Arabidopsis thaliana: one gene and its partners. The protein of the gene in region 1 interacts with the protein of each later gene in a pairwise test. Each region holds a gene or a part of one and is shown in the gene's direction. Other genes may lie near its edges.

Region 1 (11,032 bases):
ATGATCACACACAAACGCATTCACCTCCCCATAACCCTTTTTCGTTGTCTCACTTGGGTGTGAAAGCCTGTAAAAAAAACACACACACAAAAGCTAGTCAATTAAACGTGTCGACGTTATGAACATTTAGTAAAGATATGTTTTGATTTGGATCACACTTACAGCGAAGATTGTGGCGTGACCAGGATCAGCAAGATGTGCAAAAAGGTTATCAATAGGACCAGTGCCAGTGTAGATGTGTTGGAACCAAGCACCCATCACTGCCAACATAGCCAACCTTCCGTTCTTGATCTCCTTGGTCCTCAACTCCTTGAGCTTAGCCGGGCTACCGGATCCCCAACCCAACGGGTCGAACCATAACCCACCTGGGTAACCAACGTCTGTGCCCGTCAGTTTGTTGTTTGGGAAGACTGGGTCAGTGTTGACGCTACCGGGCTTGATGATATCGGCCCATCTACGTCCTTCTGCCCATCCGATCAAAATGAGCTCAACGACAAAGAGTGTGGTTTTGTCCGTGAAATACTCTTGCTCTCCCGCCGTGTACCATGACGGAGTGTTGAGGATTCCGATCTTCGTTAGGAACTCTGGGATGAATATCCCGGCGGCTCCTAGCATAGCCCATCGGCAGTGGACTATCTCGGCTTGTACGTTCCATTTTAGACTGTCCGGGTCCGATGCTGACATGTGTCTAAATTTTGTCAGAAAATTATAAATATAGTCTAATTTTGTTTATAAAACTTGTTAAAAAGCATGCAAGGAGGAACAAAAAAAATATACTCACAAAGACCAAGAGGATCAAATCCGAAGTCACCAGGGAGGCTACCGTCTAGCCACTCTGGAGGAGTGCTTCCCGGGAACCAGATTGGTCTATCTGGATCAGCTGCGACGGCGCGCACCGACGCATCTGGCCTGGACACAGCTGGAACAGTCAACTTCTTCTTCAGCCTCAGTTTCTTACCACCCAAGAAACTGCACATATATCATAGCCCTAAAAATTTAGTCACAACTTCAATAACACCAACCATGCATAAATTCATATTATTACATAGGGCAGATCGGTGTTTGGATCACACAAACAATAGTCGCACAACGTTTAATCTAAATGGATGATGGATCACTAATTTTACAACCGCACACACATTCTCGGATACTAGATCATAAATCCCAATCAATGGATCACTATCATAGTCATGTTAACGAAACTAATTAAGTACAACTGTACAAGGATCTTAGTCTCATTCCTACATAGCAAGTGATGATAACTGATAAGAAGAGAGAAAAAGATGAGCTTACCTTGGAGAAGAAATGGCAGCGATGGCAGAAGAAGCACAAAGAGATGATGCCATTATTCTCGACGTTGTTGACCTTCAAGACTCAGAGTGTGTTAGAAGAAGAAAGAAACGAACGTGTGTTGTGTAATCTATAAAAGCACTCTGGTGACAAAATCAGATTCTGCTTATCTGATTATCCCTACGGATAACGCACTGAGTTTCCTCATTGGTCAACTCATTGGCACGTGGCAACTTCGTCCCACCACATCTTAGATTTTCTCTCTATTTGAACATAACTATTAACTGAGTTTTAAAGAAAGAAAATATAAGCTAGTATTCCAAGTGACTGGGCTTATAAAGAATACCAAAGCCCATATGTTTTTGGGCTTTTTTTAATCTTCAGCTGATAGCATTAGGCCTTCAAGAAAATAACTACGGCTTTAACATTTGCCGGAGCGGGACCTCATTTATGTACCTTCTACAAATTAATTGCAATTTTTCTATATCCAATTTGATAATAAAAACATGGAGTGGTACCAAGCAAAAAGAAACATGAAGTGGTACCATGTGACGTGTAGGAGAAAGACAAGACGACGAGATCTAAGACTGTATACTCACTAGCAAAATGATTAAATATCTATAAACATCGTTGTTAATCGATCATATATTATTATAGCGAATGATTGTATACGTTTATCTCTTTCTATCTAGAAAACCACCCCTGCTTTGTAGGAAACAAAATTGCGAATCACATCTATAAAATCTTATGATTAGCAAAACACTGATTAGCCATGTTTTATGTGACCTATAAATTATGAGATTCATAAAGACATCAGTAGGAATAGGAATCATAAAGATAGAGAATAAGCTAATTATATCTTTATCGTATAATATCAACAACAAAAGGTTCCTAAGACCCTAACAGAGACTGAATACATGAACTCCAATCTTTTTATTTGAAAAACAATTATAGTGTAATAAAAAAATCTGTATTGTCGTGACTTTTTCAGTATCATCTAAAATTTTATTTAATTACAAATGAAGCAATGATTGAACCTCATATTCCACCGAAACATCATCTTAAATCTAAGATCAATATTGGATCAAATAGGGTTTAAAGTAGGGTATATAGTTATGAAACAAACAAGAAACAGTCAATCAAGTATATTCGTATCGATGCATCATGGGACCAGAGAACGAGATGGTGCGAGTATTCAAAAATTAAACAGTGACATGACAAAGAGAAGTGTGGGAGAGGTAGGAGATGAGATGATATGCATACAAGCAATAGGGCCATGTGGCTGTCTCGGCCTCATTATAACATTTCCAAATCAACACACCATTCTCCATACTTATTTCGTTCCTCTTATCGTTTTAGAGGGTTTTTTTTTTTGGATCGATGGTAATTGACAAATTGCATGTTTTTTTGTCGTATAACATACACATTGACTAGTTGAGCATCATGAATTTTCTCATTGAAGTTTGGTTTGAATTTTGTGACATTAATTGATTACAAAATTCTACTACAATACATGTATTCTTGTACTACCATCGTGTATAACTAATAAAATAATTTATAAATGTATAGGTGTATTAATGCGTTATTATGGTACCAATACGTCTTGTCAAAATAACTTTGAATGATTTTGACTATAACAACAAAATGAGCTCAAACGTTGATGGTTTACGAGTTTTTGATACTTTTGTGGGTTTTTGTGACCGTTCTACTAGGCTATATAGATTTTCTTATTGTTATTTTTTTTTTTTTTTGAATGCGTTTTCTAATTATAAGGTTTCAGAATTCAGCGTGTGATTATAAATAAGGCCCATACTTCATAAATATTACCAAAAAACATCAATTTTATTATTTATCTCTGGTTATTTTTGAGTGAGTCAACTATATATAGGCTATAGAACCAAATAAATTCCTACTAAGTTTGAATATATCATCGTAAGTAAGTTGTACATCTTATGAAAAAATTTCCACATGACTATAAGTATTAGAGTATATATATACGACCACTTGATTTTAAAATACGATTATAGATAACAAAACATATATGTTCATTGCAAAAACGACATTTCTCCGATCATAGTTGAGCCATGAACCATTGCCGGTTGGTGGAAGGATCATTGCCACCGACGACTTGTCTCCTATACCTCTCTCCGGTCCACCACTCAGTTAAACAATAGACTTTTTTCTACTTTTATATAATTATTAATTATGTATATATATAATCTATCATTTTCGAAATTGAGGGTGAGGGGTATAGATAAGGTTGATTCCTCTTCTTTATTAATCATCTCTTTAAAGCCTCCTTGACCCACACACACCCTTCTCTCGTTTCTCTTTGCTTTCTTCATTTTTTTTTTTTGAACTTTTGCTTTTGTAATGTTTTTACTCAACCTAATATGCCTTTAATTTGATCATCAAATATATATATTTCAATTAAACATTGTACCGATCTCAAAACATATTATCATCTTTTTCAAAACTAGAAGCAATCCTAACTATATTACTGTAGTCAAAATAAGAAACTAATCCAAACCGTAGTGCAAATTAGAGCATAGTTTCCTATATATATAAGAAAGACAAAAGCAGCTTACCAAAAAAAAAAAAGAAAGACAAAAGCAATGAACTGGTTTATAGAAATAGTAATATTTTAGGTGATCCCTCGCATTATTTGATATATACACCTCCACTGATGCCAACATAGAATCACAAAACAAATATCTAAACTTGTTAAATAAAGAAAAGAACCTAATACAGTAGTTAGCTACTTAGCTTATCATATGTAATTACAAAAGAATTTTATACTTTTCAAATACATTTGTTGTTTTCCTATAACCAGTATAAATGCTAATAGAGACAACGCATGAGACCTCTTTGACGTGTGATTTACGGAATGAAGCTCAGCCATTTGATCTTACTTTACTACAAGATTAGTTAACGATCTTGATAAAATTTTCATATACTAATGTCTTTTAAAATAATGATAATTAGTGCTCTATTTTTTGTTTGTTCTTATGAAAATGTCCTAATACCGAGAACGTAACCCTATTTATCTACTGCCTAGTGTAAATTTCACGTGTTAAATAACATTCAACGAATCCCAAAAATTAAAATTAAAAAACGTAATTCCATTTATAAAAAAATAGGACGAATTAATTCCTCAATCCACATCAACCGCACGTACCACGTGTGCTGATCGTCGTGCAACTTGCAGATACTTTTATTCCCAAAAAAAAAAAACCAAGTTATACTGTAGAGACGCACGTAGCCAAATCCAACAATGTTGGTGACAGAACCAAATCTCACAGTCCAACTTCAATCTTTTCCCATTTCTACTCTTTTTCACCTCATTGGAACGTTCACATAACAAACGTCACAGTCAGTTAACTCTATCAAAATCAATCTTACACGACACGATGTCGTTTAGACGAATCCTGTACCTTCCTTCCTTCCTTCATCTTCTTCCTTCCTTTGATTTCTATAAATCAAACTCCTCATGACATTAAAAAAATCAACTTTTTCAAAAAAAGGAAAAAAAACAGAGCTCACTCATTATTATCTCTCTAAAAACCCTAGCTTTCTCCATGGGCTTTCCCGTAGGTTACACAGAGGTTTTCTTACCGAAGCTTTTCGTACAAACGCTTTCGATTCTCGGATTCATCAGAACCATCGTCTTCTCTATCTTCCGCTTCTTGGGTCTCTCAGATTTTCTCGAAATGGATCAAACCTGGCCCGATTACACATCGTACCCGACCCGAATACCCGAAACCCGCTCACCTTTCTCCGCACTCCTAATTAGAGAGATCCTACCGGTTATCAAATTCGAAGAGTTAACGAATTCCGGCGAAGATCTACCGGAAAACTGCGCCGTTTGTCTATACGAATTCGAAGGAGAACAAGAGATCCGGTGGCTGAGAAATTGCAGACATATATTTCACCGGAGCTGTCTTGACCGTTGGATGGATCATGATCAGAAGACGTGTCCACTTTGTAGAACACCGTTTGTTCCAGATGAGATGCAAGAAGAGTTTAATCAACGGCTATGGGCTGCTTCTGGTGTTCATGATTTTCACTGTCCCGTGACCGAATTATTATAGAAGAAGCCACGCTTTTCTATCTTTTTCTGTGTCCCTTATGTTCTTTTTTGTTTTGACTTTCACCCCTCTACTTTTGATGTTGCTTTTTTCACCCCTCTTACTGACATTTAGACTTGCCACGCTTTTATGTGTGTATATACTCCTTACATATGAATGAGAGATGAGCAATAAATATTACCGAGACAGGAAAATAAAAAGTAGTTTATTTACTTTGAAAGTTAAAAAGAAAATTAAAAATTGAGTTACATGCTAAGAATATCCAAAATCAATACCATAAGTATAAATTTCAGTCTTACATTTTTATAATCCAGTCAAGTGGTTTATTTGCAGATTGAAAGTTATGACCTTAAATTTCCATTTACAGTAACTTATGCTATTTTAATTAAGTCTAAGAGTTATTAATGTATTTTTAACCGGGAGTAGTTAAGATCTTGTCAGAACTTGTCTCTGACCAGTGACCAGTGATCACTTCTGTAAATTTTGTTGGTAATTATGGTAATAAATATTTTAAAGACAAGAGTCATCTTTTTATCTTTAGTTTTTTACCAAAAGGATCTAAATTCAATGGATCATGGTAATGCGTAAAGGCAGAATCTCGTAACATGCTTGGTCTGCAGATCCATCAGTCAATTCTAACGTAATAATTCAATGAATTTATTTTACTTGAATAGAAATATACCAGAAATCCAAAAAATCTTGAAAACCGAACATTTCTGATTTATTTATTGTAATAGTTACTATGATTATTCTACAAATTATATATAAACATAAAAATCAGAAGAGAAAATCTAAAATGAAAAACTGAAATTCTAGTCCTAATGTTCTGGAATACCTATTTATAATCAGATGTTTTATTTTTGTTTTTAATCAGATGTTTTATTGATGTAGCATTATTTTGACTGAAGGTGATCAGATTCATTGTAGGATGGTAAGGGAGAAGACATGCTTTCACTATAGAGAAAGATAATTGAAGAGTACCAGAGTGGGTAGGTTAAAAATGGGGGAAAGTGGCATTTACTATTTGGGTAATGATTGAAAAGATGACCAATACAAATCACCATCATCTATAATCCATATCATGCCCTGTTCTAGATTTCATGTACTAGCTAGAGAATCTACTTTTATAATAGTCTATCTATCTATCAGCAAACAACAAAGCAATTTGAGTTGGTTTAGATTTTCGTAGACTCGTAGTCCACACACACACACGTATACAAAACATTATAATATAATATTATGGGAATATATGTTTTATAATGTATTTTGTAAATTGTTATAGTTAGCAGCACAAGCACCTCCGAGAGCATTGCTTGCAGTTGCGCAATAAGAATCAGGAGCTATGTAGTGGTTGGCTCCACTTAAAAGTCACATCGTGAACTGATTATCTGAATCAGCATCACCAAACAAATCTTAACCTGGCTGGATTTTTTGCTAGAATTATGATGGATGTGATGCAAGTTGTAATATCTGTCATGTATTTCTTCTTCTCTTGAAGTGAGCTCATGAACTTGAATTTGCAATGTCTTTTAGAGTAACTTTTTTTTATATAAATAATGATTTTTTCTTTTAGATATCAGTGTGAGATAGCTATAGATTTGCATTGGAGTTTACTTGCTATTTTATTTAGACCAACTAATAAGCATATTTTAAAATACATGGGTGTATAATAGACAGATGAAAAGTGAAACTTCCATATTTTGTCTCTACCATAAACATGTGTAATGTAAATGACAGGCATCACCAGCTTTCACTTCACAGAGCTGCAAAATCGCCAAATAAAGATAAAGAAGATGAAAGCAAGATTTCAACTCTCCAAGATTAAGAGCGAGTAAATAAAAAAGGTTACTTACTTGTATATGAAGGCAGCGATTCCCAGGAGTATGCATAAGAGGATGATGTCTATGCAGAAGTTGCGGCTGGATCTCAACTATATTACCAAATAGAATGCAATGAGGTTAACTATATATTAAAACGAGATTGGTTTCGATCTCAATATCAGTTATATCACCTTTGTTACAGTATCCTTGAGCCTCACATTGGTGCTTTTCAAGTCAGTAGCTGCCTTGTCAATCTGAATGATAAATACCGAATCAAGAAACGGTAAAGACGATCTCGTTAAAAACAAAACTCAGATCAGGGACAAGTGTTAGTTAATTAAACCTTTGTATCTATTTCATCCATGAGTGGTTCTTGCCTATCAAGTTCCTGTAATGTAATGTACCAGTAAGAGGATCAATAAAGGAAACCAGAACATCAACCGCAGAAAAGAATATCGGTATAGGTGAACCTCATTGATGTCCTGAGCCATATTCTTGAGTGTATCCAGTCCTTCAGCTATGTAATCCAATCCTTGATCCTGCTTACAGATAATTTAGACTCTTGTTTTTAGAAATCGATCGTTATAGACCTAATGATAAACCAAATAAGCAACACACTCACTTGCCTGTTTTATTCTTTTCATCTCATACTCTTGCTTAAACTGATCAGACTCTCCGGTTGGCTGGAAATATTCACTACCAATTCTGTCATCTGATACAATTGAGAAAGTCTTCATTAATCAACATACTAATATTATAACGCAGAGGTCACAAACTACAGAGAAACCATTATATAATACCCGAGACATTAGTATCGAATCTGATATTCGAGTACGATGTTGAAGCTTCCCAACCACCTACAACAGGAGCAGAGCTTTCTGGTATGGCCTCAATCTTATCTCTCAATGACAAAACCAAATCATTCCTAGCATCAAGCTCCTCCTTTGAAAGTCCTTTGACCTAAAAACAACTCCTTTCTTATCATCACATGCAACAAAACCAACCTCTCACCAACACAGACTTTGATAGAAAATTAGGTCATCGAACAAAAATTAAGAAAAAGACCTTTTTGAGAGAAAGCCTCTGAAGTTTTGGAATTCCTTCAAGCAATCGAGCTTTAGTTCTTCGAATCTCTGCGTTCATCGCCACAGCTTTCGCTTTGTTTGTCTCAGACGACAAATCCTCTGTTTTCTATAACGTCCCTCACAAGTTTACAGTTAACAAAACAAAAACATACAGAGAACGAAACGAAATCGGAGAAATCTAAACGAACCTGAAGAACAGTTTCGAGAGCATATTCGACGGCGGAGTAAAGGCGGGAGAAAGCATCGTCGCCGGAGACATTAGCGTCTCTCTGTCTATTGATATCATACTTTTCGTACTTTTTACAGATGGAATCAACCCTAGTGATCAAATCAATTACGCCCATCTTCGCCGCTCGACGCTAGGGTTCTTTTTCGCCGGAGATTTCTCCGAAAGGTTTTTTCAGGTTTCTTCTGAAAGTTTTTGTTTTGAATATGATCAGAACAGTTACAGAAATGACACGTGGAGCTTATAGCTTACAAAAGCACAGAAGATTGTTTTGTGGCCGTTCGATCTGTTGCCACGAGGGCGTATCATGAAGATTATACTTTCCTTATAAAGTTGAAGATTATTTTCTTTATTAAGTCAAAAATGTTGATTCTGAGTGTGATATATTGGTCAACTACTCAGTCGTTGTTAGTATATTTATGGCTTTTATTTAATAGTCAATGCTTGTAAATGTATACGTTTTATTTCATCAAAAAAGAGTAATGATTTTCCAATCCTCTGTTTTGTTGGAAATCGGTATAGCTCTACTTGTAAAATGTTATGTTACATCAGCAAAATCTCAGTTAGACGGAATTTACCAGCAGAAAATCCCTATTTGAAACAGAAAATGATGAACTTTATTTAGTTGGATCTTCAATATCCAAGATCAACATCAACAATACTGTGATTATATTATACATCAACAATAGAACAATATAAACACAAACTTATTACTCTTACATCTTTCTTTTTATAATCTTTTGCTCCCGAGATTTTTGGTAAAGTGTCAGTCTTCCTTCATCAATCCACTGAAACTGGCTTCATCTCCTCTGCTTCTTTCCTCAGCTCATCAAACAGAACAGACGACAGATATCTTTCTCCGAAGCTCGCATGAATTGTCTATATGATAATAAACACAAAACAATAATTTCTGACCAAATCATAACACATAGATCAATAACAAAGACCAAAGAAAACACTTGTCCTCTCTTACCACAATGAGTTTGCCTTTATTCTCTGGCATTTTCGCCAGTCTAATTGCTGCCACGGTGTTAGCTCCCGACGATATCCCAACCTACAAGTTATTGTCCATACTTACGACCAGAAAACAAACAAACAAACTATCTCTGTACATCATCAAAACACTTACCATGAGACCTTCTTTCAATGCCAATTCTCTAGCCATCTTTATAGCATCCTCACTACTAACCTGTTAACGTATTCTCAAAACATAAGCCTTAAGAGTTGAGATTATTGAAAAGATGGAAGCTTTAGCCGTATACTATACCTCAAGAACACTCTCCATAACATCCATATCCAAGATTTCTGGTTTGAATCCAACACCATTGCCTGTGATAGCATGTGGACCTAACTCAAAGTTCAAAACTCTACCATCAGCAACCGCAATGAGGATATACTAACAAAGTCTTTAAGTATTCAAAATTCTCACCTGGTTTGCCACCGTTGAGTATGTTGCTTTCAGCAGGCTCCACTCCATATATCTATCATTTGGAAGACATTCATGATCAAACGCAATCTACTTTTTTGATATTCACAAGATTTCTTCAGAACTTAGAGATCACTCACCTTGACATTGGGGTTTTTAGATTTAAGGTATCGGCCAACACCAGAGACTGTGCCTCCACTGCCAATTCCCATCACAAATATATCAACATTTCCAAGTGTATCTTCCCAAATCTCAGGACCAGTTGTATCAAAATGAATCTGCATTCCAAGCATCATCTCTAGATCAAATGAGAATGCACAATAATAATAAAAAAAGATCTCTTTCTCTAACTCATAAGTGTACCTGAGTGTTTGCAGGATTAGCAAACTGTTGACACATGAAAGCATCAGGAGTACTATCAAGGAGGTCATAAGCTTTCTTAACAGTTCCACCCATTCCTTTGGCTGGATCAGTGAGAACAAGCTCAGCACCAAAGGATCTCATCGTCACTCTCCTCTCCAAGCTAGTGTACGAAGGCATCGTCATTATAATCCTGTACCCTTTCATAGCAGCCATGAAAGCCAAACTGATTCCCATGTTTCCTGAAGTAGGCTCTATCAGTGTTGTCTGAAAATTAAGCATCAAATTCAGAGGGTAAGAAACTCTTGATTCACCATTAATTTGAGAATTAACTAAGAGAAAAGAAAAAAGCTATTAACTTTTCCAGGGATGATTAGTTTTTTCTTCTCTGCATCTGCAATCATGGCTATAGCTGGTCTAAAGACAGGAAATGGAACAAAATCAATACTTGCTACTAGTGCTTTTGAAGGATTTGAAGACTAAGATTTCACAAAGCACCTGTCTTTAATGCTACAAGTTGGCTGGAAATGTTCTTGTTTGGCTGCAACATACGCTTCACAACCTTCAGTGACTTTGTTGAGGAACACAAGAGGCGTTTTCCCAATAAGCTACAACGTTAACACAGACGAATTTGTTAATCGACATCAGAAGAAAGACGAGAAATTTGCTACAACCCAGATCGCAATTTTGTAGATACTCAATAAAAAAAACGGTTTCTTTTTTGTTCGTTCTTTTAC
Region 2 (11,358 bases), on another chromosome or scaffold:
ACAATCTTTAATCTTATGCAGTTATTTATATTTTCAAACGAAAATGATTCTGTGAAATCGAAACTTTGAACATGGAATTCAACAATGGTTCAATCTTGTGTTTTCTTGATGAGATTACATTTTGACTAACCGTTTATAAGAAACTCTCTCAATTTATATTACGGTTTTTCACTATAAAGAGAACAGAACAAAAAGTGAATAAGAAAGAGAGCACTAACTAATGCTCTCACATCTTAGCTTCTGTAAACACAAAGTCGATGAAAAAGAAACGGCATGGGACCTTTTTCTTATTATTACTCATATAATCTATAGAGGGATCTTGAAAACAGAATGCTTAGTCGCGGAACTCGTCCATGAAGCTCTGGTGGAACGCAGTTAGACGATCAACAATCGCTGGAATCTTATCCTCTTGGGGAAGTATAGTGCACCTGAAATGCCATGTTCCAGGTACCTACATCAAACCGAACAAAGACATAATCAATATCAGCAAGTGAGGTTTTAGTTTTGGTTCTTTGGAGAAAAAGCTATTTCTTTTTTTCAAACCTGTCTAAAGCCAGAACCAGGGACAACGACTATTCCAGTAGCTTTTAGAAGGCGTTTGCAGTAGAAATTGTCTGGTGCTGTCTTTTCCGCCTCAGCAGCTGCAATTGCCTTTTGTGGAAGGTGAAGGCAAGGGAATAGATACATAGCTCCTTCTGCTCTATTGCATGTAACTCCCTCTAGCTTGTTCAGAGCCTCTTCAAGAGTCTGCAAGGTTAGAGTTCAAACACTTTAAGAACAGAAAGTTCTAATCTTGAATATTCCTAGTTGTCTATTAAATGGCTAACCTTTGCACGTCTTGCCAAAGATGAGAGAATTCCATCCTTCTCTGCTATGTATGATTCATAGGAGTCGTCACCAGGCTGATCAAATTTAATAAAAGCTATTAAGGTCAATTATCGATGTGCAAGTCCAAGCCAACAGGTGGAAACTGAATCAATTGTGATGATAAAGTCATATAGATGTTTTATACCTTGGGTGGGCTCATGATGAGGCTAGCAAGAATTTGACCAGAGATGTTGGAACAAAGATTCACAGAAGCCATTTTGTATATCTGCTCTCTTACATCAGAAGTGAATCCAGTAACCTCCATGTAACCACCTCTTTTCCCACACTCTCCATAGTACCCTGTCAGAAATAATGAATTCAGTTTTCTGACTAGTTTCCCATCGCAATGATCAGAATTATCAATTGACTAAGAGATTTGTTTTTGTATCAAACCTTTGGAGACAGATTGGAAAGAGACTAAGGCAAGATCCTTCTCACCGTAGCCCATAGAGCGGGCTACTTTCTTGAAGGAATGGAACTTTTTGTCAGGGACATAGACATTCTCTTGATAAACCTCGTCTGCTAAAAGAACTAAACCCTCTTGCTTGCAGAACTTAACAACGTCACGCTGGTTTTCTTCCGAAAGAACCTTTTACCAGAACAAAGCAGAGGTCAAATTTAGACGAAACTATGAAATTCACATCGGTATAAATTTGTGAGTTTTAGTCTTGAAGATTAATTTACCTGCCCTGTCGGGTTTCCAGGGTTAATGACAGCCAAAGCTCTCACAGTGATGCCCTTTGACCTAGCATCTTCAAGTTGTTTCTTCAGCTCAGATATTTCAAGACCCCATCCTGATGCTTCATCAAGGTAGTATGGAACCTACCAGAAGAACATGACGACAATGAGAAGAAAGACAAAAGAAACTTTGGAGACAGATTCATTTTCCCATTTGATATAGTAATGCGTCAAAATGATATCATCATCATAAACAAAGATAACGAACATACCAAAGTTCCACCGTGAAGGGCAATTGAAGCTGAGTACAATGGATACTGAGGAATAGGACAAAGGATTCCATCTTTCTCTGAAGTTATGAGAAGTTGCATCATCATATGAACCTAGAAGGAGAGGAACATCACTGTCAACTTCAAAACAAGGTGTTCCAGATTCTACGAGTTACGAGAAGATTAGTTTGATAATCCTTACCCCTGGACTTGCACCATCTGTCATGAATATATCATTAGGATCAGCAGGGAAACCATCACGGGCTTCGATTCCATCAGCAATTGCATCACGTAACCCCTTGATACCCTGAGGAAGAACGGAAGATTAAGAGAGGGAATCATCATTGAGAGAGAAATGCTGTCAAGATTCACAATGCCACAAACCTGGCTGTGGCTGTAAGCACCAGTCGCTCTCCCGGGAATTTGGTCCAGAATCTTCCAAGCACGCTCAATCGAATCAGAACTGATAAAATTTGTAAAGTTGAATGTTAAAAAATCTTACACCACAGAATCAAAACAACTAAGAAACATATAAACCACTTTTGATACCTGAACAAACCGTGTGTTGCACTCTCATCCAACAGGGCTGTGTAGGAACATAAAGCAAGAACCTGAGATATAAATGTTACAAGCTAACTCATGATTAACATATGGAACAAACCAGCACTATAAAAGCTCACTTATTTACCTCTCTGAAGAATGTTATAGGCTGTTGACCAAGAGATTGAGGATTCCCGATATTACAGTAGATAATCTGCCAAAAACATAGAACCTTGTAAGCTTCACTCATGAAAAGAATCAAGCTTGAAAACACGAAAAGGACTAAACCGATTATAACGTACCTCATCAAAGGGATAAGCGTCCTTGTTAGTCTTCAAATCTTCTTGCAATTTCTGTAAGATGGAAACAGAAATCAAAATGAGCAAAACAGTCTCCACTAGAAATATACAATCAAGGACAAAGATGTTAACCTGAGCAATGTTGACAATTTCTCCACGGACAGCATACTCACATTTGATAACCTGAGAACCCCCAAAAAGAAACCATATTGTTAGAATAAAAAAAACCAAACAAAACATCAGTCACTAAAGCTAGATTTAAGATGCAGAACTGTTCCTCGACAATAAACTATTCAATTGTAAAGTATGAGCTAATCACAAGGAAGAACAAAAATGAAGAATTCAGAAAGCAACAGACTTTTTTAATATACGCAAAAAGCTGAAGAACAAAATGGATTCTAAATAGTCCTATAAACAAAGGATCACCTAGTAATATAATACGTAAAAGAAATAAATCCATCAAGGGTCAATGATCAAGATGCGGAGACGAGGATACGAATCATAATATGCATAAACTCGAAACATGATGCCCAAAAAGAACACAAGCAGGTGATCAATAAACCCTAAATCAAGTACAGAGCAATCTCGAAGAAATTAAACGAAGCTCTTCACTTTACCAAATCATAAATCACAAAATTTCATCGGAGTATAAAACAAAATCAAAGCTTGCAAAAAGACACAGATCAATCGAGGAAACATAATCCAAAACACAGAACACAAATCACTAACAAACAGCAACCCAAAAAGGCGAGAATAAAGGAAAAATTAAGAAAAAAACGGACCTTGGGGTTGATGGTGTCAAGAGTAACGGGAAGAGAGGAAGAGGAATCAGAAGCAGACATATCGGAAGAAGAAGAAGAAGACAAGTGGCGCGATGAAGAATCGGAAGGAGCAGAAAAAGGAGGAATAAGAGAGACAAAGCTGAGATTTTTGTGATGATGAAGTTGACGACGACGACTCTGATCTATGAGATTTTTAGCTTGGCCAATCACGAATCTCCGCATTTGTGATTGTGTGGTATGGGATTTATACTAAAAAGCTTGTTGGCTTGTTTCTCAATCTAAATTTAGATTTCGATAGTTTTGCTCGAAAGACGAAACTTCCCAATTCCTGTCTTCTCTCTCTCTCCAATTCACACTGATTTTGACATTTTTTTGTCCGTCCACGGATTTAGAATTTATCTTGTTTTCCTTTATTTTCAACGGATTTCTTTAAACCCTTTTCAACGAATATTGAATGTCTTTCTTTTTTTCTTTCTTACCAAATACTCTGTCAAAAGCCATCTATATATTTATCTTTTCAACGAAAAATCAATCTAAAAAAAGAATGTAATAAACGTAAATGAGATTTTTTTTTAATTTCAAACAAAGGAATGAGATTATTATTATTGTTTTGTTTTGTTTTGTGTGTTTTCAATCCATAATCCGTAATCTCGAGTCTTTTAGCCGTTTATGATATTTTCTTAGTCAAAAAATTTGTCTAAAGAGAGGTCGTAATAAATGAAGGTGGTTTTTTCTTCTTCTTTTTAATTTAGTTTGGTACTAATAATAATAATGAACAATTAATTGGAGATAAAGAACTTCTGGATCGTGGATTATTCAGACAAAACCATGTGTTTTATTGGTCGGAGTCGGCGCGTAAAACGCTGTTAGAAATTGGACAAAATTTGGCCATTATGGGCCGAGTTACGGTTTAGAGACTCTCTTCCGGCCCAACCGGTTCGTGGGAAAAATTCATCATATTATACATGGGATCAGCAAAACGACGTCATTTTGGCGGCGGTTTTCTCAGCGTTTCCTAATAACAGTAATATTATTATACATGGGATCAGCAAAACGACGTCATTTTTGAGTAATGTGTTGGATGCCACTTTGTTTCTTCTTGGTCCAAAAGTTTGTAAACAATCTCAACAATCTGTATCGGTGTTTTAGAGAAGTACAAACTTACATGTCAAAAGGAATCTAGTGCTCACAGCTGTGATTACTTCTTTCATTGTTGCTGTTTTGCAGTGAGGAGTAATCACTGGATATCGAGATAGGCAGCTAAATAGTCAGGATATTGTGAGGTTTCCTGCAGAACAACTTTCAATTTTTTACGGATCTGAGGATGCATTTTTGAAGCATATAGAACCGAGAACATAGATAAAGAGGTTGATCATTTTATATTTAAGGTTTTAAGCACCACTGAGAACAACATGCTATGGCTGAGGATAAGTCTGCTGAAGTCAAATAAAAGAAACCACAAAGCAGAGAAAAGAAGAAGAACTCAAAAGATTAAAGAGGTTGAGAATAGTTTTGGAAAGTTAGACTACTCGAGCTAGGAGGCGTTTTAAATTTTCATCCTATCTTGATCGATCAATAAGATTAAAAGATGAGTTCATATATTTCAAGTAGATTACAGCATTAAAAGCACACATGTCTAGGTACCTATTCTACAAAAAAAACGAAAGTAGAGGATCTAAATAAGGACAAAAAAAGAACTGGAATTTTAAGGTTTTCTTGATGTTGTGATCTGCTGTTGTTTCCTACTTGCTTTAACATCTACCGGTGGATTACACCTGATACAAAAAGAAACACTTTTTGATGTCAATTACACCTAAAACTCATCTTTGGGGATACATAAAAAAAAAGAAAAACTAGATTGTGTCTCGTATCTTCTTTACTTGTTCTGTATAGGGTTTGAGCCACTCCTTGGGATTCTTCTGAAGCTATCATTTTCTCCCTTAAGTGGCTCTTTCTTCATCTCCTTGCTTACAGGCAAATCTCTCACAGCTTGACTCGAATGTGTCATCGTTAACAGAGAACGTCCTTCTACACTATACTTGCTGCTAAAGAAAGCTACAAGTAACAGAACCAGAGCCACTGAACAGCATCTCTTCATTCTGAGTTCTCTTCTTGAAATTTCCTTTAGGACTCTTGAAACCTCTTGACTTTTTCTTGTTCTGTTTTTCTGTGAACTGAGAAAATCTTGGATGGAGATGTGTGTTAGAGAAAAGAGAGACGAGAGACTTCTAAAGCTTGTTGGTTTTATAGAATAAGATTTATGTGTGTTTGAACACATAGTTATTGGGATCTGATCACGTGATCTTACTTTGACTAATGCTATTTAATCAGATGGTGAGATACTTATCTTATTCTTAATCATTTACTTACGATGATGATGATATTCCTCAAGCATCTACATTGAAACAATGATACAATATCATATGTAGAGACAAAGATCCACATATTCACATTACCTAACTCATGTAACTGCTTTGAAACTAAGAGATGGTGGTCATGTGATTAGAGCACGTGATTTCTGCCTACTGTTATCGGGGAACTCAAAAGAGGCTGAAACTTAACTTTATTGAAATTATTTTTTAAGCATAACTTTGGAATTTGGAGGTATTAGTGTAAGTCCAATTTCAGAAAAGAAAAAATTGCAGGTAACAGCTGTTTTGTCTCACTACTAATCACTAGTTTTTTTTCTTCTTCTGCAGCTATTTTTTTTATATTTCATGAAGAGAAGGAAAAATTGATTCCAAGAACCGGCACAGATTCTTTGATGAGTGGTGGAGAATAAAGAAATAGGGAAAAGTGCATTACGCAAAATAATTATTAAATCATTGATCCTCTAATAACGAACCGGAATGGATTATACAATACCGGTCTAACTTGTGTTGAATTTTGTTCGGTTTAGATAAACCAAGCGCGAGTTAGGCTAATTCTTTCTCTCTCTACCCGCGGAGAAGGAGAAAGTGAGATTAACGAGAAACCCCAAGAGAGAAAATCTTCATCGACAAAATTCGATTCAGGTGATCAATTTCTTTCATATTTTCGCAATTATTTCTTGGATCTGATGTTATCTACTTTGGAATTTCTTCGCTGCATTATCTTTTGATTTGTTGTTCTTGTTCCTTTGCGTTTCTGGGTAAGAGCGAAGCTTGAAATTGCAATTGGAATCTCTAACAAGTTTAAGACTTTGCTTTGATACGGTTTATGTGGAAGTATCTGTGATTTTCTTATATATTTATGGAAGATATTGCAGCTGATTCGAGTTTGGTTTGCCTATCATTGTTGCAATTTTCTCGGTTCAATCAAAGGATTTTCTAGGTTGATATATAATTCCAGGGATTTCCAGATAATTTCCTTTAATTTGGTTGGAATTCGATTGAATTTTCGTTGCTTTCAATTGGTTTGCAGTGATTTGGGTGAAAAGATTTTTCCAAGCTCATGGAAATTGGGGATTTTTATTCAAAGGGTGTTTCTGGTGATCATAGAGTTGTTTGACTCAAGTTTCATTTGATCTTGTGTGTATTTGGTTGGTTTTTCTTTTCAATCAGGTCATGAAAGTATTGCATAATAGCTAGAAGTATTGTTATCTCTGTATATGTGTTGTGAGATAGTACAATTGGTAAAGTTTCCATATCAATGGCACGAAAATCAACTGCAATTTACTCGTTTCGATATATGTTTTTATGTAGTTCATATATGTAATTCAGACATAAGGGTTTTATGTAGTCCATCTCATCAGTAGGTGGACTTTCACTCATATTTGTATTTCGTTTTGTTGATAATGTTAAATGGGTGTAACAGCTGCTGCAGCTATTCACTTCGTCCATAGCACGTAGATGGCAGAAAAGGCCTGTATAAAACGTCTTCAAAAGGAATATAGAGCACTTTGCAAGGTACACTCTCTTTACTTGTTTTTCTACCTCTCTCGAGCTGGAACCAGGATTCCATATTTTTATTGCTCAACCAGTTTTCTCTGTACTTTCAAATGATGCTGTATCTATATGTGAATGTTTTCTTGGTTTTGGTTTAGAGTAAGTTTCATATTTTCTTTTGTTTCTTTGGGGGTTATTTAATATGTTCTGTTTTTGGCCTTTAGGAACCAGTCTCCCATGTTGTTGCTCGTCCTTCCCCAAATGACATTCTCGAGTGGCGTAAGCCTTCCCTATCTTTTTTTCTTAATCTTTATTCCTGCTGGCTTCCTGTAATCCTGTTGCAAGCGTTTCTATAAAGATGTTATGATAAGTATATATGATGGACATATTTGCTACACTTGTGAGTATACGTTAAACTAAGAAAAAATGGGATACTACGATCTAAGTAGACAGAAGAGGTCTCACATTACTTTGATGGAATAGTGAAGACTTATTTATCAAAGGTTTATATGTACTTACAATGCATAGATTTGATAGTTTTCTTCTCAATTGTGAAAGGCTGTCAGTGTTACTGTTAGCCTGATAGCGGTTAGGGAGTTTCAGTCTTTCTATTATTACTGCATTTAGTATGTTAAAAAGGGTAGCTTGATCTCTTACTAAAATAGAGTTAAACTATTGGATTAATCTTACAGATTATGTGCTGGAAGGCAGTGAGGGAACACCTTTTGCAGGTGAAAATCTTCTTTTGAAAGTTTCTTGTTAGTGTTGTCTTACGCAGTATCTTATTTTTGATACTAAAATTCTCTTTACCAGGTGGATTTTACTATGGAAAGATCAAGTTTCCTCCCGAGTATCCTTACAAGCCACCAGGGATTACGTATGTTCCAATGGTTCCTCCAAATTCAGTCTCAACATTACTCTTACCTCATTTTTTGTCCAGTTTTTTAATGAACCAAATCTTTTTCTGTTTGCCTCAGAATGACTACACCAAATGGTCGATTCATGACACAGAAGAAAATTTGTTTATCTATGAGTGATTGTAAGGACAATCTGCACTTTCTGTTCATTATTTCGTATCAATTAACTTGTCTAATATCGAAATAAGTTGACATGGCATTTACAGTTCATCCAGAAAGCTGGAATCCGATGTGGTCTGTATCAAGGTATAGATTCTTTCTTTACTTTTGGAAGATGACAATCGATATACCCGTTGATAACCAACTTTTTTTCATGAATGCAGCATACTTACAGGACTTCTCTCATTTATGGTAAGCTCACTGTAGGTTCTACATATTTATGGACATCTTGTTTGAAAATTCTCATATTCTTATATTGTAATGGTTTATTAGCTTAGATATGAATATTCAAAAAGGAAGTCTATTTTTTCTTTTCTGTTCTCAAGCTTTCTCTAAACGTTTTCCTTGCGGCGCAGATGGATACCAGTCCGACAACTGGAAGTGTTAACACTACTGTAATTGAGAAACAACGGTTGGCTAAGTCATCTCTCGCTTTCAATTGTAAAACGTAAGATTTTCCCATCATCAAAAAATTTCAAATTCTGGATTCATATAGAAGCTAAGTTTAGTTATCTGTGGTTAGGATAGTCATAAAAGCTGGTTAGATAACGAATATAGGAATGAATGCAGTCCTGAGATTACATGTTTTCGGTATTTCACCTGAATCCAATGTTCTTACTTGTGACAGCCCAGCATTTCGAAAGCTATTTCCAGAGTATGTAGAGAAGTACAACCAGCAGCAACTAGCTGAGCAAGCTACCACACAACTGACAACACCAGAGTCTCCTCAAAAGAGCGATACCAAAGTCGAGTCAGAGAAAACCATCGATCCAACAAAGGGAGATTCAGAAGGTGGCTTGAAGGAGAGGAAAAAGAACAATAAACAGGGATTGCCAGCGTGGATAATACTGTTGCTAGTGTCGGTTTTCGGTGTGGTAATGGCGTTGCCTCTGCTTCAACTGTGATTTCTATGCAACAAACCTCGACCTGGTTTTCGTATAATCTCTCCTTGTGTCTCTCTCTCTTCAGCATCAAGAGTAGTCTCCTTTTGTCTAGTGCTCTTCGTCTGAATTTACTCATTTAGCACCTCATGGTTTGTGCTTGTAAAAGCAGATAACATAAGTTTGGTTTCACAATTACATACATATTGTAGCTTCGTTGGAACTACTTTGTATAGTATATATGAATTGAGGATAATGGTTTGGATTTGAAAAATAGAACCGTATGGTTTTCAAATTGTACTTCTCCTAGAGCTCACAGGTTAATTTGTCAATTTATGTAAATACTCTGGTGTAGTAACTTGATGAAAACAGAAGTGACAGAGAGAATACACAGACAATAGTGAATAGAATTGTTAGGTATATTGGGCCAATTAAGCAATTGTCCCTTTAGGCCCATTGGTAAGAAAAGGAAAAAACCATACTTAATGATAAATTAAAACCGGTATGGCTGTACCGGTTCAATCTGTCTTCAACCACCGACGTTGACTTGTTACCAATCTTCTTCTTCTGCTCGAGTCCAGTCCAGTGAAAGTGATTATGTTTATGGTTAATAATGTTAACTCTATAATTTAGTGGGAAAAATGTTATTTAATACCTCAACTTACAAAAAATGGTCAAATTAACCGTGAACTCGTGAAATGGCCGTTTTAACTTTCAACAAAAAGTTGACTTCTGTTTTAACATTCAAGTTTGCGTTGACTCGGCCTAATTAACCACCGTTAAAATTCCTTCTAACAGCGTAATTGACAGACGTTACAGAACATCCGTTAAGGTGATACGACGACGTTTTGTGCTATCAACAGACTTCAAAGTCGACGAAACCTCTGAAAAATCCCCAAATCAAAACCCAAACCCTAAAAATCATTTTCTCTCAAATTTTTCGATCAAATCTGCATTATGAGCTGCAACTCAAGGAATTCGAGTGGTGAAAGTGGAGGCTGCAATTCAGGAATGATTTCGAATGCTGAAGCTGGAGGTTTCAAGAGCCGTGGGTTTCCTGTTAAGTGTAAATGTGGGCTCGACGTCGTCATGTTTACATCGAGCACGGCTAAGAACCCTGGAAGGCCTTTCTTTCGGTGCAAAAGCTGTGAAGATGTAAGTAGATTTGATATGAGAATGTGATGTTTTTTGTGTTTGGTCGATAAAAGCTTGAGATGGAATTGCAGGATCATTTGTTCAAATGGGTGGAGGATTGTATGTATGAAGAGGTTATAGATGCTCTACCCAAAATCTCCAGCATTGATAACGAGATAATCAATGCAAAAGCTGAGGTTGCTGTTGAAATTGCAAACTTAAAGGAGCTAATGATAGAGTTGAAAGAAGATGGAATGTGGAGCAAAAGAGAAATTCAGAGATGGAAAAAGATGACGAAAGTGTGCTTGGTGTGCCTTTGTTTTAGTGTGATTGCAATTGTAATATCAATGTTCTATAAGAAAAAAACCCAGAAATTTGTTCTTGGTTATTAGTGTGTAATCGAATGGGAGCTTAGTTTGAATGTGATGTCTTTGTTGTTTCTCTTGTTGTTGGTCTTTGTTGTTTAGTTTGTGTTTGGTTATGCTTTTACTATGTAATGACATGTAGCTTTGGTAATGGTAATGAATTTCATTTGAAAGAAAAGGTCAACTTCTTAAAACTGAGACTAAGCTAATCATATAGAGAGACAAGTGCAAACAACAATAAGTAAAAAGACTTAGATTATGTCATAAAGACAAGTTCAAACAACAAAAACAAACCGAGACTAAACATATGTCATAAAGACAAGTTCAAACAACAAAAACAAACATGAGACTAGCTTATCATGTTCCACGAGAACATTCAAACCATGGTGCAAGTCCAGCAAGTCCTTGCGATTGTGCTTCTCCTTGTGGTTGTTCAGACACTTGTGATGTTCCACGACCTCTTCCCCTCTGTCTTTGTGCTCCACGAGTTGTTCCCCTTTGTCTTTGTGTTCCACGACCTCTTCCTCTTTGGCTTTGTGTTTGTGACCCATTGTTCTGCCCTAGTGAGCCATTGTTCTGCCCTTGTGACACATTTTCCTGC
Region 3 (10,480 bases), on another chromosome or scaffold:
CACCTGAATTGCTTCTCAACAGCTCTGAATACACAGGAGCTATTGACATTTGGTCTGTTGGTTGCATTTTCATGGAGATACTTAGAAGAGAGACGCTTTTCCCTGGTAAAGATTACGTTCAGCAGCTGAAACTTATTACTGAGGTAAGCAAATTAAAACCTTAATCCAAAATCTATCATTTTGGTTTGTGTGTGTGTGTGTGTTGGTTGTTGGAAGCATTTCTCTGTTTTGTTTTGGGTTGTTTTTAGCTCTTAGGGTCACCAGATGACTCGGATCTCGACTTCTTGAGAAGCGATAATGCGCGGAAGTACGTAAAACAACTCCCACATGTTCAAAAACAATCATTCAGAGAAAAGTTTCCAAACATTTCCCCAATGGCTCTAGATCTTGCTGAAAAGATGCTAGTTTTCGATCCTTCAAAGCGCATCACAGGTGCTTATCACGTTGTTTTACTACTTTGTGATGCTATAAATGGAATGTGAAATATACTAACAATATGTTTTAATTTGACAGTGGATGAAGCATTGAAGCAGCCGTACTTGGCAAGTCTCCATGAGATCAACGAAGAACCAACATGTCCTACTCCTTTCAGCTTTGACTTTGAGGAGACAGCCTTAGATGAACAAGACATCAAGGAGCTTGTCTGGAGAGAGTCTTTACACTTCAAGAATATGTAATCTCCCAAATTCTCACTCTCTTCATAATTTTTAAGACACTTGAAAGCTTATTTGTCTAAGCTGTGGGGAATAGTGAACATGACTCGTATTCTCGTGTGCATGTGTTTGTTTTGCTGATGGTTGGTTGTGCAATGGGAAAAAAGTTCTTACCCAAACAAACCCTTAAGCGATTGCAAATAATTTCAACCCGACCAATCTCTACACAAGATAAAGCTAATTCGACCATACTCTGCCTAAATCAAATCTAATTTCACCAAATTCCTTAAAAGTCCCAAAGATTAGCTAAATCGTCCTAAAGCAAACTCTCTTATTTACAAAACTAGCTAGCTTTTTTTAAATAAAAATGTATGTAATGCCAATCGATTGCCGAAAGGTAATTTTCTTGTTTTATATTGATAATTTGGTATATGATATTAGTAGATAATTTGAATTGGACCAAGCAAGTCAACATCATTGCATATGTATTTTTAATAATTAAACGTGAAAACATCTCCGAATGAAACCGTTTGCTACAAAAGCCAAACACGTCTTGGTTTACGGATGCTGGTTCCAAAGAATTAATAAACAATATCTTTGTTGAACCATACATTTGTTTATAGATTATGTTCCTTTCTTAAATAATTCGAGCTGTCAAACTAAGTTCTAATTTAAACTTATTTCAATCCATTGTTGATTAAAATTTTGATATATTTATAGAAAATCCATTTTCTTAATAAAAAGGAGTTGACTAGGTTTTTTAATGCTGGCCCAAGAGGCCAACAGAAAGGAAAGTCCACTTTTGTGCTTATTATAAATTTACTGAAACAAATATCAAAATAGTAGGTATAAAACATTTCAAAAACTCTACACCAATTGATATACGACATTTTTTTCCAGTTAAAAATGCTAATTATAGCCGAATACAATACAAATTGTAATCCACCAATTAATGTTATATACATGAATTCTTCATTGTATTAAAAAAATGAATCTTCACTTTATCTAGTTGAAAACTTAATGCAAACTAACGAGCAATGGGTTAAATGAAATGACTCATCAGACGTTGGGCCATCGTGGGCTTGGAGTAAACTGAAAATGGAATATCAATGTTAAACAAATTTCTCGATTACTAGAATAATAAACACCAAAAAAGTTTAGTGAGTAAAACATTTTTTTTTTCTTTCTGTCTAACTTACTATTTTTTCGAACAGAGCATATAGCTTTTACTATTTTTGCCAGCAAAGGATGGCCTGTCTCTCATAAAGTTATTTTACGGCCTAAAATGTCAACGTATTGTAACAGGAGTTGTTAATGTACCCTAAACCTTATAGGTAAAAGAAATGAATGAGAGAGATTAAATAATCTTCTCCGAAGAACATTAATATGTGCCACGTGGCGCTATCTGCTGAAACGCGGCACAGTTAATTACTGTACTTGGAACCATAAAACAAAAAAAGCCTGTTATTAATTAAATAATTTTTTGAAAAAACATTCGACAACAAAGCGCGTGGAGTTAAAACGTGGGACCCACAATGACGTCCTTTTTGTTTTCCTCACCTCATTTGAAAATATTTCCAAAACGGTGAGTAATTTTGCCGTCGTCTAACACCGACGTCACCCGTAAGGCGATTGGTGACAGCTACAAAAATGTTACTATCATCAGACTTATCTTTCAATCAAATATAATCATAATCCAATTTAATCTACCATACCTGTCAAACCATCGAGTAAAAAACGTGTTTGTTGTAGCTAATAAAATTTTTAAGACTAATACTGAAAATTGACAAACTAGAAAGATGTTTGGCAGTATGAAAATAATTTTATCAAGAAGTGACATAATCTTTAATCACTCAAATCCATTGCTCCATTAACGCCACGTCAGATCGACGGTGCTTGTTTCCGAACCAACGGACGGTAGATGACAAATTAAAAAGTTGACCATGCTCAAGTGTTTCGTGCCATTACGTGGCGTCTTCTGATACGTTTGTCTTCAACACTAGCCGTACGTTTCTGTTCTCCTCAGGAAGAAACATTTGTCTAGACGTGGCTGGTTTTAATTAGACGCGCTATATGTAATGTACCGTGAACCTTGTCGTAGACGATAACTATACGTTTCTCTCTGAAACAAAGAAAATTAAACAACTTTTTTTGATTACGCGATATAAAAAAAGGCGAAGAAATTAAGCTTTCTCTGTTTGTCACTAAGCTCTCTCTCTCTCCTTCTTCTTCGACTTTTTTTTTTCTTCCTCTCTTCTCTTTGGTTTTTTGGTGTTGGGTTTTATCTGGGTTCCTGATTTCTTCAACGAGGAAGGAAGGAAGAAGAAGAGAAAAGGGACAAGCGAGAATTACTCTTTTCTCCTTCAATTTCCGATGGGTTGTTTCGGATGCAGTAAGAAATCGAGCAAACGATCCGAGACTAACAAAGATACTGTCATAAATAGAAAAATTGTCGGTGGTACTACGAGCGTTGCTAAGAGTGATAAGCGAGACGATCAGACTCAGCCCAGTTCAGGTATCGAGTGATTTTGACTAATTTCGTTATTCTCTCTTCTCCACAAGCTCTCTTTTGGATTTGTTGATTTTTTTTTATCGGATACTTATGTTTAGGTTTTTCTGTATCTGTTACATTTGGGAGAGACATTTAATGGAGATTTTTTGTGATTTTTCCCCGGAGAATTTTGATGCATGTGTACTATTCACCATATAAACGATGTTGGGTTTTTGAAATCGAGCTAGTTTTTTTTGGTTTTGTCTCCTCCATGAGGGGACAAAGTGTCAAAATTGAGCCTTTGGTATCTTGCCGTGTCTGTTTTTGGTTAAGTCACATGATAACTGGTAATCGATTTTGTTACTCGTTCCATGTGTTGTAGATTCAACAAAAGTCAGTCCATATAGAGATGTAAACAATGAAGGAGGAGTTGGTAAGGAAGATCAGTTATCTTTGGATGTGAAGGGTTTGAATCTAAATGACCAAGTCACAGGGAAGAAAGCACAGACTTTTACTTTTCAAGAACTTGCAGAAGCTACGGGAAACTTTAGATCGGATTGTTTTCTTGGTGAAGGAGGTTTCGGAAAAGTTTTCAAGGGAACTATAGAGAAATTGGATCAGGTACTTGTGACAAAGAAAAATCCTATCTGTTTTTATCAATTGGCTGTGAGATTTGTCATAGTTTTGAACGGTTGGTGAAACTTGGTTCTGCTGCTAGGTTGTTGCAATCAAGCAACTTGATCGTAATGGGGTTCAAGGAATCAGGGAATTTGTGGTTGAGGTATTGACTCTAAGTCTTGCTGACCATCCGAATCTTGTGAAGCTTATTGGGTTTTGTGCTGAGGGTGATCAGAGACTACTGGTGTACGAGTATATGCCGCAAGGATCCCTTGAAGATCATCTACATGGTATGTTGTAAGATCAAATTCCTATCCTTTGCCTCTGTATTGTTTGTCTCGCAGCTACCCCCTTTTCTCATCTAACTTTTACATTGTTGTTTTGACTGTTTCAAGTTCTCCCTTCTGGTAAAAAGCCTCTTGACTGGAACACCCGGATGAAAATAGCAGCTGGTGCAGCAAGAGGTTTAGAGTATCTGCATGACAGAATGACGCCCCCTGTGATTTACCGAGATCTTAAATGTTCGAATATTTTGCTTGGTGAAGACTATCAACCGAAACTATCTGACTTTGGGTTGGCTAAAGTAGGACCAAGCGGGGATAAAACCCATGTCTCGACAAGGGTTATGGGAACGTACGGATACTGTGCTCCTGACTACGCTATGACGGGTCAGCTCACATTTAAATCCGATATATACAGTTTTGGAGTAGTCCTTCTCGAGCTTATCACCGGAAGGAAAGCGATTGACAATACAAAAACGCGTAAAGATCAGAATTTGGTTGGATGGGTATGTTTTGTCTCTTGGCTGTGACTCATAATAATCTTTACTGAAACAAGACTCATATTTTCACGGTGCTTTTTAACAGGCACGACCATTGTTCAAAGACAGGAGGAACTTCCCAAAAATGGTTGATCCATTGCTTCAGGGACAATACCCAGTTAGAGGACTGTACCAAGCACTAGCAATATCAGCAATGTGCGTTCAAGAGCAGCCTACCATGAGACCAGTGGTATCTGATGTAGTATTGGCTCTCAACTTCTTAGCCTCTTCTAAATATGATCCGAATAGCCCTAGCAGCAGCAGCGGGAAGAACCCTTCTTTTCACAGAGACAGAGATGATGAAGAGAAAAGACCACACCTCGTCAAGGAAACTGAATGTGAAGGGTCCTCATAGGATATCCAATAAGAGAGTGGTAAAAAATCAAATCTAATTTTGGCTTCACCAAGAAATTGGGGAAAAATATAAAACCAACTCAGGTACATTTTTAACATCTATTGTGGATGTAAATCTTGACTCGGCTTCTTTGTATGTAGAATGTTTCTGTTCTGTAGAAAAGGAAAAAAAAAAAAAACCATTTTGTTTTGGGACATATATACATATATTGAACAAAAACAAATATCGTTGGTCATATATATATTTTCCCGATCAAAAAGTCTGGTAAATTAGGATTAAGTAATGTCTAAAAATTCATAATGATGAATGGCAAAAGTCGTAAATATGTAATAGAAATAGGACTATGATCACGTGATGCAACTTATCCCGCGTGAACCCGTTAAGATTTTTGCCGTTAAATAACCAAAACCTAATCCAAGAAGGCTTCACAAATCTCTTCTCTCTTATCTCTCTCTACTGGTTTTGTGATTCTTGGAAGAGAAGCTACAAGATAAGACAACAATGGCGGAAAGATCATTCTCTCAGCTCCCGATCTCTTCTTCTCACATTGGCAGAAGGACAGGAAACACCCGGAGAGGGATATTTCCGGTATCGGAGTATTGGATCCATGCAATTCCGGTGATCGTTTTTCTCTGTTTCTTCACCCTCTGGATTTTCTCCCACTCAGGTTCCTTATTTCTCCGATTCTTTAATCTAAGAAAAGATTTTCCCGAGAAAATGAGTCTTTCTGATTTTGGTTTTGGTTACAGTGAGCGTCATGAACGATGGAGAGATAATGTCGATACATCGTCTTGAGAAATCCATGGCCGTGAGAAACGAGTCTCATGTCAGTTTAGCGATTCTTGCTTCCTCTGCTGTTTCACCAGCCTCCTCAGCTCTCGTCGCCGTCGTCTCTACCAATCAGAATCTCACAACTTTTCACAACGCAACTCAATCGCAGCAAAATGCAACCCAGTCGGTGAACAAAGCAAAACAGCCACACGCAGTCTAATCTCTGAACGGAGAAAAGTTTCTTTCAGTTTCTTACTGATTTCTTTCATGAACAGATAACTTTCAGGGATTGAATTTTTCTTTTCTTTGTATTTGCTTCAGTTGAAACAATAGTTTTTGATTTAGGATTGAGAATTGTTTGTGAACGACGATACACAGAATGTTTTCAACAAATTGCATAGTCATTTGAAGAAATCTTTAGTGAGTATATATCTGAATCTTGTTAATGCTGCTGAGGATGTTCAAGCTCACTGATCTCTCCATCTGCGCAATTTCCGACCCAAATATACATCGTTTGGTTTCTCCTACTCGGCAATACTCTGCAACAATCCCTCCTCGGTGACTGCACCAAACACACAATTTTAACATCATGTTATTTCAACACCGGTTTATTATATGATCTCAGCCGGTTATCTCTGTCAATTCACTAGCCAAAACCAAACCGGTATGACTATATTTGATGCAAGTTGTTAATAATGAAGCAAAGAGAAGATGTGGACCAACCTTGTGCCATCGGAGGGGATCAGGTCGCTTGAGAACGACGACTGAATCGATCTTTCCAGGCGAATCGAGCCTCCATCGGCACCCGGGAATCCGCCTTGTCTTGTCCAAGTTGTAGTATCCAATCACTTGGCGACGTCCTTCATCATACTTAGCCGAGTTTAAGTAAAACACAAATGGTCTTTGGCACGGATGCCTCGACACTGGTCTCGTGTTAAACGCGTAACCAATGTAGTCGGCTTTGCGGAACCAGTTGAGGAATGTTCTTGAAGGCATCTCAAGTTCGCGAGGGGATATGATGCCTCGGATTATCTGGACTACGAAACCCCATGAGACCGAGATGGACCAGAACCGGTTCTGGTCGTAGCAGATGGACTGCTGGAATATGCTGGCTGGGTCAAGAACTGCTGAAGACATCAAGTGTCGTAGTGCACGTGACCGCTTCATCTTTGGGAATATCGGCTGCACCACATCGATGTGGTGCAGCGACACCAAGGGAGCCACTGGGTGTGCACCTAATAACCCCAATAAGTCCCCATAAACATCGTACTGCATACATAGAAACATTAAAATTAGACGTATTCAATCCAGATAAACCGTTCTAATCCGAACCGAAACCAAACCGAAGTAATTAAACATCGAGGAAACGTAGAAAATGACACCTGGTGAAAGCCAGGTTCTTTGGTGAGGGGTACACCAAGTTCAGTCATACAAGCTTGGATGCGATCATCACTGCCGTAGAGACCAGGATACCGTTGGATGCAACGGTCCTGCATCCGCAAGAGCTCGAGGGCTAGAGCATAGCTGATGGCGAACCCACCGCCTCCAAATGCCATTGAATATGAGAAGAAGATGTTCTGAACGTGAGCCTCCGAGGAGCTACCAACGTAGTAGAACTGAGTGTGGTCGTACTTTGAAAGGACGTTTACCACATTGTCCACCACAAACACTGTGTCGTCGTCTCCCATCACGAACCACCGTACACCTTTTTTGCCTAGCCGAAGCGTCTCCGTCACTACTCGAGATATCCTCACCGCTGATCTGTCCCCTACTGGATGGGTGTACCTAAAACATGACTTCTTGATTTGAATAAGAGATTTCTTGTAAAACACGTCAGATATTGTAGAGATGAGTAAGTACCTGAACCGTGAGGTGTCTTGGGAGATTCTGATTTCTGGAAGGGGATCGTTTCGGTAAGTTCTGACTCTCTTGTCAATCCAGACAACGCCACGAGTTTTACCAGGTCGCCACCATGATTTGATGTACTCTTTTCTCGTCTCCCACAGAACAGAGGACGCGGCAATCCCGAAAACGATGTGATCAAGCGTCGTGTTGAACATCCTTGGTCGCTGCGGGTAAAGAGCGGGGACACGTGGAGGCACATCGTCGTCTTCTTCCTCGGGAACAACAGAGGAAGATGAGTTTGCTTTGTCGACTAGGGACAGGTGGCTGTAGGTAGAAGAAGAGGGACGGCAGGTCTTGCGTGAGCCACCTCCTCCGGTTGTAGAGATGAGAAGCAAAGGGAGGAAGAAGAGGAAGATGAAGAGCCATGGCAGAGGAGATCTTAAGAAGCTTAGGTGAGAGGTCCGAGCAGAGTTGCTGTGGTTTTGTGCTTGGTTTCTTTGGTGGTGATGATCTTCTAGAAGTATGTTCTTAGGGTTGCTGAGATTGGTGTTAGAGCTCGAACTGTTTCCCATCGCTAATGGGAATAGAAAAGAAATAGATCGACACTACTTTGTTTTGTTTGTTTGTTTTCAATCAGATTTGGTGACATCTCTTTTTATAAATGATAACGAAGTTTCAGTAGTAACAGGCTAAATTTAGCTAAAGAGAAAAGGTCTCTTCCTAATTTTACTGCAAGAGCATGACCATGAACCAATACTAAAACTGATAACAAGTTCTCACATTCACCACTTTCAACATTTAATCATAAAAGCAAATCGAAAATTTGTATCTTTTTCATGGCAACAAAATTGGTGCACTGAAGCAGCTAAAGGAACCACTGGTGTATCCATATCAGTGCCTTGTCTGCGAAAATTGAACAATACATTGTCAAACACAAAAGAAACTGAAAAACAAAAACAAAAAAAGGCAGAATATTTGAGAAAAAAATAGTAGAATAAGAAAAAAGTTACCTTTCTTTTCTTGAATGGCCCTCCCCTTTTATTACGGCCGAAGCTTCTTGGCTTTTCACCATCCTTATCCAAGAACTTGATATCATCGTAAAAGTTCTCGGTTAGTTCATGCAACCTGATTCAGTTGAACATGAGTGTGTATCATCACATAAGGACCAATTACATATCAGACACTTCAGTTTCCAACCAAAGCAAACACGTACCCGCTGCTTGATTTCAAGCGCTTCTCTCTCTTCTTATCCTCTTTAGTGCGAGGTGCCCGGGTAAAGAGCTCTTCTTCTGCCTTTTGTTGCCTTTCATACTGTGCCATAAACCTCTTCTGCTCATTGCTCTCAACCCCATAATAGTCTCTAATCTGTTCATATTCATTCACCCATTTAGTTCCAACATCAAATTAATCTCTACCACGCATATCAACTGCAAATTAATTTCCTTCCAACTCACCTCTTCAGGCCTGTCCTCCAGATCGTCCAACACATCTTTCATGTATGTATTTTCAGTGGCTTGTCTAAAAAAGTGTTTCTCTTTTCTGGCAGCATCTCTTTCTTGTTTTGAAGTCTTATCTTCCATAGACATAGGGGCAAATTTCGGGGGTCGATAAACACCATCATCCTACATTTACACAGGCAAAGAGGTTAATAAAAATAACACGCAACATATTTCTTCACAAGTGTTGGAGGATAGTAAGGTTTCACCTCTTGGTCATCCTCTTTGTCAGCAAGTAAGTCAGGTTTAGGCTTATAATTTGAAAGATCTTCAGATTTTTGGGCTTCACACGACCCCTTTCCCTCGGAATGAGCTAGCTCTGTCACAGGCCCACCGGCTGTGGTGAGCTTCTGAATCTGGTACTGAAGTTTTTTGTCTATGGGACGAATCTACACAAAAGAAAAACAAGCTAAAACTATGACTCCATGACTTGTTGGCGATATAGAAAGTGGAAAAAGACAAAGATGCAAACCTTTTCCAGAAACATACGTATCTCTACAAGGCTCCTTACAAGAGGATGACCATCAATAGAGAGTCCTTTTGCTTTCCTTAGAATATAATATACAAGATCCTGGCAATAACTTAGAAGTAACAGATGCTTGGCCTCAAGATAACTTATCCCACCCGCTGTCGGAAAACTGTTTGCTTTTACCTACGATTTGTAAAATTAAGAAAGTCAGGATGTCATGAATGACCCATTGTGTCTCTGAATGGTAACGGCAGATGCAGCTATATACAATACTTTGGTTAAAAATCCTCAAGGAGAAGCAAACAGTTTGTTCTCGAAGTCGTCAATTCTACTTATACCCAATTGAAACTAGACATGTTATAGACGAGACCGAGTAGATATTAATAAAGTAGAATCCAACAAAAATATGTTATCAGATTACGTACCAATGCAGTCAGAGCTTCCACTTTGCTCCTAACCACATCTAGAACATTCTTCATTTCTCTCAACACGGATGCTAGCTGTGGAGCTTCTCTGAGACAGTTACAATAACAAAAACGAGACCAGTAAAAACATGAGGCATATCTAAATACACAAGTTATTATTTTCGTTTGATTGTGAGTTGTGACAATTAAAGTGATTCAACGATTCATTATTCAAGCTGTATTCTTTTTTTCTTTATGGCTAAAACAGAGAACAATTTCATGATGGGTAAGAATAACTCACTTCTTAACTATTCCAACAAGGACCGGTTTGGTGATCTCCTCCATGATTCTTGTTCAGTACTTGACAGAAGATAAGTCTGTGAAAAAAGGAAAACAAACATGAAAGTTCAGAGACTAACCCTTGAATTTGAATACCACATTAAGATACTCAGATAAACTAAACCATAGTAACTGAGAACGAAAAGAATTTAATTCATGTTGAGATTTTGGAACAGAGATTATGGTTTGGTCCAACAACGTTTGAATATCTAAGTAAGC

Evidence for each region.
Region 2: the proteins of BRH1 (region 1) and UBC34 interact in a protein complementation assay, tested with the Arabidopsis thaliana proteins (one large-scale study listed by BioGRID).
Region 3: the proteins of BRH1 (region 1) and AT1G07860 interact in a protein complementation assay, tested with the Arabidopsis thaliana proteins (one large-scale study listed by BioGRID).

What each region holds. Positions count from the first base shown.
Region 1 is NC_003074.8:22,736,050-22,747,081, reverse strand, and holds BRH1 (brassinosteroid-responsive RING-H2), read left to right. Parts: upstream 1-4,797; 5' UTR 4,798-4,868; coding exon 4,869-5,381; 3' UTR 5,382-5,571; downstream 5,572-11,032. Other genes in the region: LHCA2 (photosystem I light harvesting complex protein), read right to left, coding at 50-67, 163-677, 782-969, 1,294-1,346; SYP73 (syntaxin of plants 73), read right to left, coding at 7,129-7,141, 7,232-7,308, 7,390-7,452, 7,542-7,586, 7,669-7,737, 7,825-7,910, 7,999-8,158, 8,264-8,389 and 1 more; CYSC1 (cysteine synthase C1), read right to left, coding at 9,290-9,388, 9,483-9,563, 9,639-9,698, 9,777-9,856, 9,939-9,990, 10,076-10,213, 10,299-10,562, 10,655-10,712 and 1 more. UniProt on the Arabidopsis thaliana protein: May be involved in the brassinosteroids (BRs) signaling pathway and regulate the growth and development of rosette leaves. Seems to prevent over development of leaves and inflorescence stems.
Region 2 is NC_003070.9:5,915,070-5,926,427, reverse strand, and holds UBC34 (ubiquitin-conjugating enzyme 34), read left to right. Parts: upstream 1-6,085; 5' UTR 6,086-6,449; intron 6,450-6,451; exon of another isoform or gene 6,452-7,230; 5' UTR 7,231-7,265; coding exon 7,266-7,322; intron 7,323-7,525; coding exon 7,526-7,580; intron 7,581-7,993; coding exon 7,994-8,032; intron 8,033-8,114; coding exon 8,115-8,178; intron 8,179-8,278; coding exon 8,279-8,340; intron 8,341-8,406; coding exon 8,407-8,464; intron 8,465-8,541; coding exon 8,542-8,569; intron 8,570-8,733; coding exon 8,734-8,825; intron 8,826-9,005; coding exon 9,006-9,282; 3' UTR 9,283-9,596; downstream 9,597-11,358. Other genes in the region: AlaAT1 (alanine aminotransferas), read right to left, coding at 335-451, 544-747, 828-902, 1,013-1,167, 1,261-1,456, 1,552-1,689, 1,818-1,928, 2,017-2,121 and 6 more; AT1G17285 (uncharacterized protein), read right to left, coding at 5,141-5,210, 5,316-5,713. UniProt on the Arabidopsis thaliana protein: Accepts the ubiquitin from the E1 complex and catalyzes its covalent attachment to other proteins.
Region 3 is NC_003070.9:2,424,390-2,434,869, reverse strand, and holds AT1G07860 (Serine/Threonine-kinase RLCKVII protein), read left to right. Parts: upstream 1-5,438; coding exon 5,439-5,604; intron 5,605-5,644; exon of another isoform or gene 5,645-5,686; coding exon 5,687-5,928; 3' UTR 5,929-5,959; downstream 5,960-10,480. Other genes in the region: ATMPK13 (Protein kinase superfamily protein), read left to right, coding at 1-143, 249-432, 514-677; AT1G07870 (Protein kinase superfamily protein), read left to right, coding at 3,027-3,168, 3,527-3,765, 3,863-4,052, 4,158-4,549, 4,629-4,927, 5,492-5,604, 5,687-5,928; AT1G07850 (transferring glycosyl group transferase (DUF604)), read right to left, coding at 6,151-6,270, 6,432-6,977, 7,091-7,493, 7,569-8,125; AT1G07840 (Sas10/Utp3/C1D family), read right to left, coding at 8,445-8,456, 8,564-8,678, 8,767-8,918, 9,008-9,175, 9,259-9,438, 9,522-9,701, 9,944-10,031, 10,224-10,267.